Drosophila melanogaster: one gene and its partner. The protein of the gene in region 2 interacts with the protein of the main gene of each other region in a pairwise test. Each region holds a gene or a part of one and is shown on either strand. Other genes may lie near its edges.

Evidence for each region. Proteins that work in one complex are often made in the same cells at the same time.
Region 1: the proteins of CCHa1-R (region 2) and Ama interact in a two-hybrid assay, tested with the Drosophila melanogaster proteins (one large-scale study listed by BioGRID).

The regions. Positions count from the first base shown.
Region 1 is NT_033777.3:6,760,662-6,765,788, forward strand, and holds Ama (amalgam), read left to right. Parts: upstream 1-1,931; 5' UTR 1,932-2,318; coding exon 2,319-2,335; intron 2,336-2,518; exon of another isoform or gene 2,519-2,855; intron 2,856-3,171; coding exon 3,172-4,180; 3' UTR 4,181-4,600; downstream 4,601-5,127.
Region 2 is NT_033778.4:17,662,013-17,666,653, reverse strand, and holds the start of CCHa1-R (CCHamide-1 receptor), read left to right. Parts: upstream 1-1,585; 5' UTR 1,586-1,893; intron 1,894-4,641. Other genes in the region: eIF3c (eukaryotic translation initiation factor 3 subunit c), read right to left, coding at 1-432, 495-587. UniProt on the Drosophila melanogaster protein: Receptor for the neuropeptide CCHamide-1. Plays a role in the modulation of starvation-induced olfactory behavior where starved flies show increased responsiveness to food odorants, repellants and pheromones.

The sequences.
Region 1 (5,127 bases), on a different chromosome or scaffold from region 2:
AGTCAATTCACAGACACTCCAGTCGACGGAGTCGGAGTGCAGCCAAAAGGCAAACAAAATACGTTCGCATAGGCAAAGCCCAAGGATACACACAAAGGTACAGTGGTTGCTCTGACTACAAATACAAATTAAACAGGGCCAGAGCTTTAATACCAATTCGATACCATTGCAACAACAGCATTTCAAATGCTACTTTTTTATATCAGATAAAGATAGGTAGAAAAGGCTATATTTACGTTAAAGGCAAGCTGATATTTTAGAAATTTATTCAAAAACAAAATTAATTACTTTGACACATAATATTGTATTTAGTCATCTGACTAGAAACTAGAAATCTCTGAATGTAACGAAGTTCTGTGCATTCTTACAAATATTACAAAAAGTATCTGCTAGATACCACTGTGCGGAACTGGGCCACAAATTCAGACGCAGTGTGTGACAAAGGACTTCTCCCTTCCCCGCTCGGCGACCCTGAATGCTGAATGCCCCCGTGTGTGCCGCTGCTGAAGCGAAACACCCAAAGAGTCACTGACAGAAACAGGATTCGGGTAATAAATTACAAAATTTGACATTTTCTGTTTTGGATCCGCTTGCGCCTGAATGCGAGCGGCAGCCCTCTCTGTCGCACGCCGTCTAGCCGTCTCTTTCGTTCGGTTTCGGTGTGTGTCCAGTTCGGTCGGGCCAAGTCGAGCGTTGCATGAAGCAGCCGGACCTGCCAGGACCTGGACCAGGACCTGAACCTGCATCCAAGAGGCATCGCCGCAATGGTCATAATGACGCTGCCGGGATGCAGCTGAGGACAAGGAGAGCCGTCAGTGGGCAGCGAGAAAGGGACGGAATAGAAGCGCCCTATGCGGTCCGTTGATAGTTAACTGGAAATTTATTATTTTACACAATTTACAATTATCTGATTCGAATGTGCACTCAGCGACGAGGATTCCGGCAGATGGGCAGTACGAGTGAGAGTGCGGGGGTCCAAGTTCGGACGACAGATGCAGTTGTCCTCCCATGGGAACGGCCTCATTTCAGCAGAAGTCACCGAAACGATTTAAGATGTGATTTAATTTTCCAGAAACTGTGGCCATAGTTTCGTCGCTCTTCGGGGGAATTTCTTCGCCAGACAGACAGCGTCGTCATCAATCATCTCGCAGAGTAAAGCCGGGTTAACCTCGATGGGTTTTAGGGGGAAACTTGGCCCGGGGCTGATCAGGAATCAGGCTGGAAATATGAAAATTAAATGCGTTTGGGCAGCAGAAAGTTTTCGAATGGTTCGGTGCTTATACAACAAGTGAAATTTTGCACATCAAACGGCCTTTGACCACATTTAATCCTTAAATCATCTGCCATAGGAACTAATTGATCGAGATCCAGACACATATTAAACACATCAATATATATACACAAATATAATCAATATAGACTATGTTATATTTCGACGTTTCCTATCCTCGTATGCTGTGAGTACACATATTAACCTTCAGCCGTGTAAAGAAATTTCTACGAACAGCCAAGTTAAAGGTACCCAAATTTCCCGAATACTGCTCTTTAAATATCCTTCAGAATTTCCCAGCATGGCTGAACCAGGACTCGATTCAAGTTCCACCCAATGCCTTGTACACCACCCCGTTGTTTTTGCCTTTTCGCGCATGCGCCCCTGCTCCGGCGCAAAAGAGACAGCACTAATGAGACGGCGCTGGGATCGCTGGCATTTCCAGAGCGGCTAGGATATTCCAGGGACCGCTCGTAATCGTTGCTGTTGTTGTTAGCCGCCAGCGGAAAGTAGTGCGCCATGCCATAAATCACACAAATGGGTAGAGTTCCAACTTTCCCACCCCGCCGCTGCTCCTTTTATTGTCCTTCCACGAACCCCGAAACGTTTATGGCCAAATGGCGGCACGAATTTGAATTTGAATTTCGCACGCGGTCTCTCAGTTCGCCTGCGGCCGCTTTCGCTGGCGCTTTGTTTTTGCAACTGACCGCTTATCTTGGGGCGGGGGCTGTCAAGTGGGCGGGGCAGGAGGGCCACAGGCAGAGGCATAAACAACAGCAGCGAGCAGCAAAACAAATCAATTAAAGACCAGAAGGAAAGTGCATTGATAACTGAGCCCGAAGTCAAACTCACGCACAAGTAAACAATTTAAATACGAACTAAAATGCAAACACAGATACAAAATACAGATAGAGATACTGAACAAACACAGATACAAATACTGTGAAGGCGACAATGTACATAACCGAGGGGTGATAAGATCCAAAACGTCGATGACTTCTTCATCGGCAAATACACTGAAAAAAGCTGTTACTAATTATTAAAAAATATGCAATATAATAAAAGGTAAACTATTTTTTTTACTAAATTTTAAACTATTTACTAAACACTGCCATTTAAAATCTTTTTTCACATCCTTAACTACAAAAAAATTAATTTTAAATCAAATTGATTTCGTTTACCTGGCTATTCATTAAAAAAAAAAATAAGTATTGATATATCGGAAAACTAAGTTATCTCCGTTTTTACCAGTGTATCCATTAAGAAGCAACGTTGTCTAGACACAGCCGCGGTAATCAATCATAATGGTGTCTATCTGCTTCATTCTCGCGGTGTACAAATTTCGGGACTTTCCTTGAGAAACCGAGCCATCGACGTCGGCGCGTCAGGAAGAATACAAAAATAAGAACCCGATTCTCAGAACCTCAGCAGAGATACGGATTTTTGAGCCGAGCTCGGTCGCCTCTTTCAATTCAGTCGAGTCCCGAACGCGAAGTGAAGCGCATTGAACCCACATTGAACTGAGAGATAGTCGAGGAAAAAGAGTCACAAAATCAACAGCAACATCCTGTAAATAAACAGAAATGTATGAATTATATTAAAATAAGACGATAAAGCTGAAAAGTGTGTACAAGCCTTATAAATGTTTCAAAACGAGTGTGTGTGCAGAATTCTTTCCTTCTTATTTACTTTTGAAAGATACTTTTAAAGATATACTTGTGACCTTTAAATTATTATTCTATAATTGAACCTAGTTTTAGTTTATTATATTGAATTCGAAGATGGGTTAAAAATGGCAGTTCTCCATTACATACGAAATATTTAGAATGGCTAACGCGATCAAAAGACTCAACATAAAGTGATACACTAATAAATCTCAAATCTATTTTGATTTCTTACAGACCAGACATGGCGCGTCTGCGGCTTCTAATCGGTCTTATATTCTGCCTTGCGATCAGCTTGGATTCGGTGCTTAGTGCCCCAGTGATCAGCCAGATCAGCAAGGACGTGGTGGCCAGTGTGGGCGACTCTGTGGAGTTCAACTGCACCGTGGAGGAGGTGGGACAGCTCTCGGTGAGCTGGGCCAAGCGTCCCAGCGAGTCGGACACCAACTCGGTGGTGCTCTCCATGCGGAATATCCTCAGTCTGCCCGACCAGCGGTACAACGTAACGGTCACCGAAGGACCCAAGACCGGAAGTGCCATTTACACCTTCCGCATTCAGAACATCGAAGTCAGTGACATGGGTCCGTACGAGTGTCAGGTGCTTGTTTCGGCCACGGAGAAGGTGACCAAGAAGCTGAGCCTGCAGATCAAGACCCCGCCGGTGATTGCGGAGAACACCCCCAAGAGCACCCTGGTGACAGAGGGACAGAATCTGGAGCTGACCTGCCATGCCAATGGCTTTCCCAAGCCTACGATCTCCTGGGCCCGCGAGCATAATGCAGTGATGCCTGCCGGTGGCCATTTGCTGGCCGAACCAACTCTCCGGATTCGTTCCGTGCACCGGATGGATCGCGGCGGCTACTACTGCATCGCGCAGAACGGAGAGGGCCAGCCGGACAAGAGGTTGATCCGGGTCGAAGTGGAGTTCCGTCCGCAGATTGCCGTCCAGAGGCCCAAGATCGCCCAAATGGTGTCCCATTCCGCGGAGCTGGAGTGCTCCGTGCAGGGCTACCCGGCTCCGACTGTAGTTTGGCACAAGAATGGCGTGCCCCTGCAGTCTAGCCGGCACCACGAGGTGGCCAACACCGCCTCCTCCTCGGGAACCACAACCTCTGTGCTGCGCATCGATAGCGTGGGCGAGGAGGACTTTGGGGACTACTACTGCAATGCCACCAATAAGCTGGGACACGCCGATGCGCGACTGCATCTCTTCCAGACCGTCATCCCAGTGCCCTCCTTGTCGTAATAAGCCCTCAACGTCTGATTTCCATTCCCACGCAACAAGACTGGAACCCTCACTTTCTCCTCTCGTCTCGCTTTTTCGGCAATTCGCCAGTCCGGATGCGGTCTGTGTTTATATTATTAATGATTCATTCAATTAGCTCCCATTCAGACTTCATTATTTTCGGACACACTTGAGATCGAGCCACCGCTTGTGCCTTATGAATTTTGCTCTGCATCCGTCGGCTTGTGCAAACACACATTAATATGCTTAAGTAAATAACGTTCTCTGATAAAGTTTAATCGGTCTTTTCCTATGTGGTTGGGTTGGCTTGTATACGGTGTAAGTTAAATACCATGAGAGAATAAACACCTCTTGAAGCAACGAATTAAAGGGTTTGTCATTCAATAAAACTAAGCCAGGAGACAAGGCATTGTCAAAAGTATTTCATTGTTTTATCGAGAGGGAATCTAAAAATATATGGTAAGTGCAGATATAAATGAAAAATTAATCACTTCTAAACAACACCCAATGCTCCATGGATCTTATTAATTTATAACAATAAACAATTCAAACTTTACACTTTAAAAGCCACAGTTTCGTTAGAATGATGGCTAGAACATCCAAATCTTTTAAAAATCCATTAACTTTTTTGGATGCCACTTTCCAAACCCTAAATAACAGATCTTTCAAGATCTTCTTCCTTAAAGCTGCCATCTGAGTCCGCAAGGTCCCACCTTGACACCAAAAACAGCATGTAACCTCCATTCTGAGCTGGTATTCCAACGGTTAACGCTGCCGAAGTCATTTGCCAAAAAGTTAACCGAGCCCGCTCAAAGTGCCACAGCGTTTAACTCTTCAATCATGGTTAAAAAATGGCAGTCAGTTGTTCACCTCTTGACGTAAACACTCACATGGTCAAAATGCGGAGTGGGTTGTGTGGCGAAAAGTGAACCCGAATGTAAGTTGTT
Region 2 (4,641 bases):
CTCCAGGGCAACCACCTCGTCCTCGGCCTCGCTCTCCTGGTCGGGTGCTTCACGGAAACGCGACAGATCGTCCTCGAAGTCCTTGATGTACTTGCGTACCTTCTGGCGCAAAGTGCCCAGCGACTTGGAGTTGTTCTTGGAAAGGTTTTTCCTGCCCTCGCGATCCTCCCACACCTCGTTGATGAAGTCCTCCAGCTCGGCCAGGCAGCGAATGTAAAATCGCGGCGTAATGCCGTTCTCCTCCTTTGAGATGACCGGCAGTGCCTTCTGGTAGGCGCGCGTCAGATCCTCGAAGCTGCTCAGGGTATTGGGAATATCCTTGATTTTCTTGTGGTTGCGAATGGTTTTGATGATGCTGGTGAGGTTCTCGTAACGCTTCTCCTTCGTGGAGCGGACCACGCGCTTGACCTCCTCCTCATCGTCGCTGAATTGCTGTTTTCCACGGAAAGGAATAGATTAGTAATGGATGAGTTTCACATCTGGGCGGCACTTACGAAGGCGCTGGCTTTGTTGAAGTTGGTCGCTTGGATCTCCTCCTCGCTGGACTCGGACTCCGATTCGGACCCGTTGGCAAAGAAACGCGACATCTTTGTTGACTTTCTACGCGGCCGTTTGTCTGCGCCTGGAATCACAATTTATTAGTTTCGGGCCACATAAGATTTTGCTTTGTTGAGGTTATGTTTGAGCGGCCAACATGGCGTTTTGCAAAAACGTATGCCAAATATTTCCGCATGACATTTGGTTGTTTCATTCGAAGCCCTGGCAGAAATCGGTTCACTGCCTTGCTTTTTAAGTGTTTACTACCACCTGGCGTTTGATATTTCACAATAAACTTACTATTTTACAGCAAAACTAAACGATGTCGAATGCACAAGACATCAAAAAGAGAGACTAGAGATGGGCGATGGTTGCATGTGTTTTCGTTGGCGATATATATTGCTCAAAGTCACGGGGCGGGGCGTTTGATTTATGTATTAATAATAACTGTCATGTTGAGAAATGATTACTCTCTACTAATATTCGTAAGGAGAGCGTTTTAAACATTTTTTTAAATGTAACAGAACATTTGTTTTTTTATGTGGCGGACCAACAGTTACCGAAATCTATCCCATCTCTAAGGGAGTCACTGTTTTGACTGAATGCGAGCGCGTACTCATCGATAACGAAATGCCGGCACTTCTCGAGATATATCGATATCAAGTAACCGGTTGGGCGGTACATTTAAAATAAATCCATTAAATTACATAGCAAATATATCATCAAAATGAAATAGTGGCCATTTAAGTAACTATTCAAAATAATGTTAAAAAGATAATCAGTGATCAATGCTTACATAGATGTTGCATTGGTGACCTGCAACATTTGAAGTTGCCAGCAACATGTTGCTGCGCTTGCGTGCAAAAGTGCCGGCATTTCTTAGCCAAACAGAGTGGGGTTCCCATTCTGGCGCCCCAACCAATCTCCGGATCAATTGGTCCGGCCAACATGCAGCCAGGCAGCCAAGGAAAGGCCAAAGCAAAACCAAGCCAAACGTTTTCGCGCGCGCCAACAAGTCGCATGCGTTCTCTCCTCCGCGCCGACGGACAGTTCAAGTTCAAAAACTCAATTTTTCGGATGTACTCGGCGATTTGGCAGCGTTGATGCCAATATCCGGCGATAGAGTCTCAAGTGCTTTTGCGGCCCGCTAAAAAGAATTCAATAAATTCATTCATTTGAATTCTTGTGTGTTGTGTTGTGTCTTGGCGGTGTAAACAAAATTTGGCCCAAGTGTGCGGTGTGTGCGTGGCATGTGCTCTGCCCATCCACATCCTGTTTAAGTGGCATCCTAAATGAGATGCGACGCCCGGAATCGCTTGAAAACACGAGTAACACGGAAAACACTTTAACGCAAATGTAAGCATAATAAATAATAACTGCAGATTGATGGAGATGTGTGTATCTGCGGTCTCGGAAATGGCAAATTAAAAATTGATCGGTTAATCTCGCGTAATCGCCCTTTTCCTGGCTTTTCGACAGCTGACATTCGAGAGTGCATATGGCGGCTTTATTATCCGGAGAAATTGATGAGAGCTCCATAAATTCCCTGTCCGCCTATCGACATTTGAATCCGTAAAGGGTCCGTGAAATAGTACGGGTTTCTGCTCCTTGACTCCTCCGAAACTGCAGCTGCAATCGTAAATTGTGTGTGGGTGCAAAAGCTTATATGCATTTACATACATCCAAATCGGCAAAAACGGGCCCCTTTTTCCTGGGGTTCTGTTTCTGTTTCCGTTACGCTTTTGTGCTGTTTATTTTGCTTCCGTTTTCCGTTGGATTGTTACGGCTTGTGCGGCCCCATAAATCCTATATATGGGTTGGATATTTTCAAAACCGATGCTCGAAACAGACTATAGAAATTTCCATTTAAATGCGATTTCTGCCCTTGCTCGAGCATAGATTTCCTGTTGATTGAATACAAATGTTGAGTTACGCAATTTCAATGAATAATTCCTAATAACTACTCCCACGTTCCTGCCTCCATTTTAATTTAGTTTTTATTGATAAAACCGATGCACTTCTTTTTCATTCAATTCGTCATCATCCATTACACAGAAAAAATGGCTTTATATTTAGATAAATATTTTCCTGAAATAAAGTATTTCTTATTCGATAATATTATATTTTTAATAATTTGCCTTCTCTCAATTTGAAAATATTTTAATTCCTATGGATATTTTAATATAATGGAGCATATTGTAAAATTAATGTCCGCTTACTACAAAACTCTTTTGCGAATAAATTGAATAGTTTCTTTCCATGCACTATAAATTCTGCGTGTTTTTCATTTCAATTTAGGAGGAGCAGACATAAAGGTTACAGTCGTAATCAGAATCTTGAGCTCATGTTTTATTCGGGGATTTGGACAACACCCTTTTCATGCTGCACACTGAGTTTCCACAAGACGGAAACTCCCAAGCTAATGAAAAACCAGGGAAAAAACCCCAAAACAAGCTAAAGCCATGGACAGGAGCACTTGAGAATGCACAAAAATGACTGGGTGGGAAATAAAAATGCAGGCGAAATCCCAAAGTGCATCGCTTGTGGTAGCCATTTATTTGCTTTTGGCAGCTGGATACGTTAACGTGGCTTTAAGGTGCCATTAGCATGGCCTCACGATCGTGAAAACTTGTGAGGCAAAACAAATTTGCAGCTCTTGGAAAATATAGTCTTCCTTCGCACCTAATCGCTAAAATTGTCTATATTTTGGCGTACTATATATATATATATTTAAATGGGGCGTGCTCCTGGACACGATCCGTTCATCTAGTCAGTCCATTGAGTAAGTTTGTTTACAATTAACCGACGCGACAGCATTAAACAAAAACTATGTAAACATATTCATGAAACATATGGGTGTGATCTCGAAAATGTTATTCTGTTGAATGGATTGATTTAAGGTGCCTACGAATTAAACAATATCAGCACCTTGCCAAATTTTCGTTGGCAAATCTTACAAAAACGAAACACAACGAAAAAAAAATAAATAGCGAAAAGCCGCGTAAAAGCAAATACATTTTACATTCTCGATTTATTGACTGCTTATCTGCGAAAAGTTCAATTAAAGGCCAAGTTTATACATTATTTAGCAGCGCTCAAAAAGGAAGAAATATACAAATGAACAGGCGAAATCGCTTAGATAAGGTTTCTATTCAACTCCCCAGAAGTCCGCCCTATAAACATGTTTATAGCATGATATTTATGTATTTGGGTTACCTTTTGATTTATGCTGGCAACCATTTGATATGCATCTTTCGCGTTTTGGTTCGTCGCTATTGTTCTTCCCGGAAAACCAAGAAAACCCTGAAAACCGCACCCATTTCGAATTTCCAACCATTTATAGCCCTCAAACTCTGGGGTCGTCTGGCATCTGCTAGGGCAAACTAATTTCGCCCGGCTAATACATACGAATGACAGTCGTTTAATTTCTATGAGTCATAAATTTTTATAATGCGCATACGCCATGTGTGCGCGTCACAGTCGAAACGAACTGAAAGTAAGGCGGCAAACAATTGCAACTAATTAGTTCGAAATGAAGGCGAATCCACGGGCACACGCTGTTTGTAGTTAATCAAGGGCAGAAACAGCAGCGAAAGAAACTCTCGGCGAACTTAAATTGAAATGTTAGATACATACGTACGTAGTTTTCCTCCTTTTGTTTTAGTTGGAAAAGTTCGTTCGTTTGGGCAAACACAACACGTCGTCACTTCAAGTGTCTGGATCTGAGCGGTCCAAACTGTCATTTCTGCCCGGAATCTCAATCTCAATCCTTGTTGAAGTTTTTGTTTGCATTGGGGGCGTGGCCAGAGATCAACCCAATACATAAGCCAATCACCACAAAACATCCGAGTAATGATGCGGAACTTTTCAAGTGCCTTTGTCTCTCACTTCTGGCCTTTCCTTTCCTCTCACTTTCACTTTCACTTCCACTTTCATTTTCACTTTCACTCCTGCTTTTTTTCGATGCTTTTGTCCAAAGGACACTGGACATTGACAGTCTTGTTGTCGTCCAGATTCAAATCTCTACGAAGAAAAGTTATTAGCAATGGCGAATGGCGAGGATGTCTGTGCATCTGCAAATGGCAAATGATATAATAATTACCC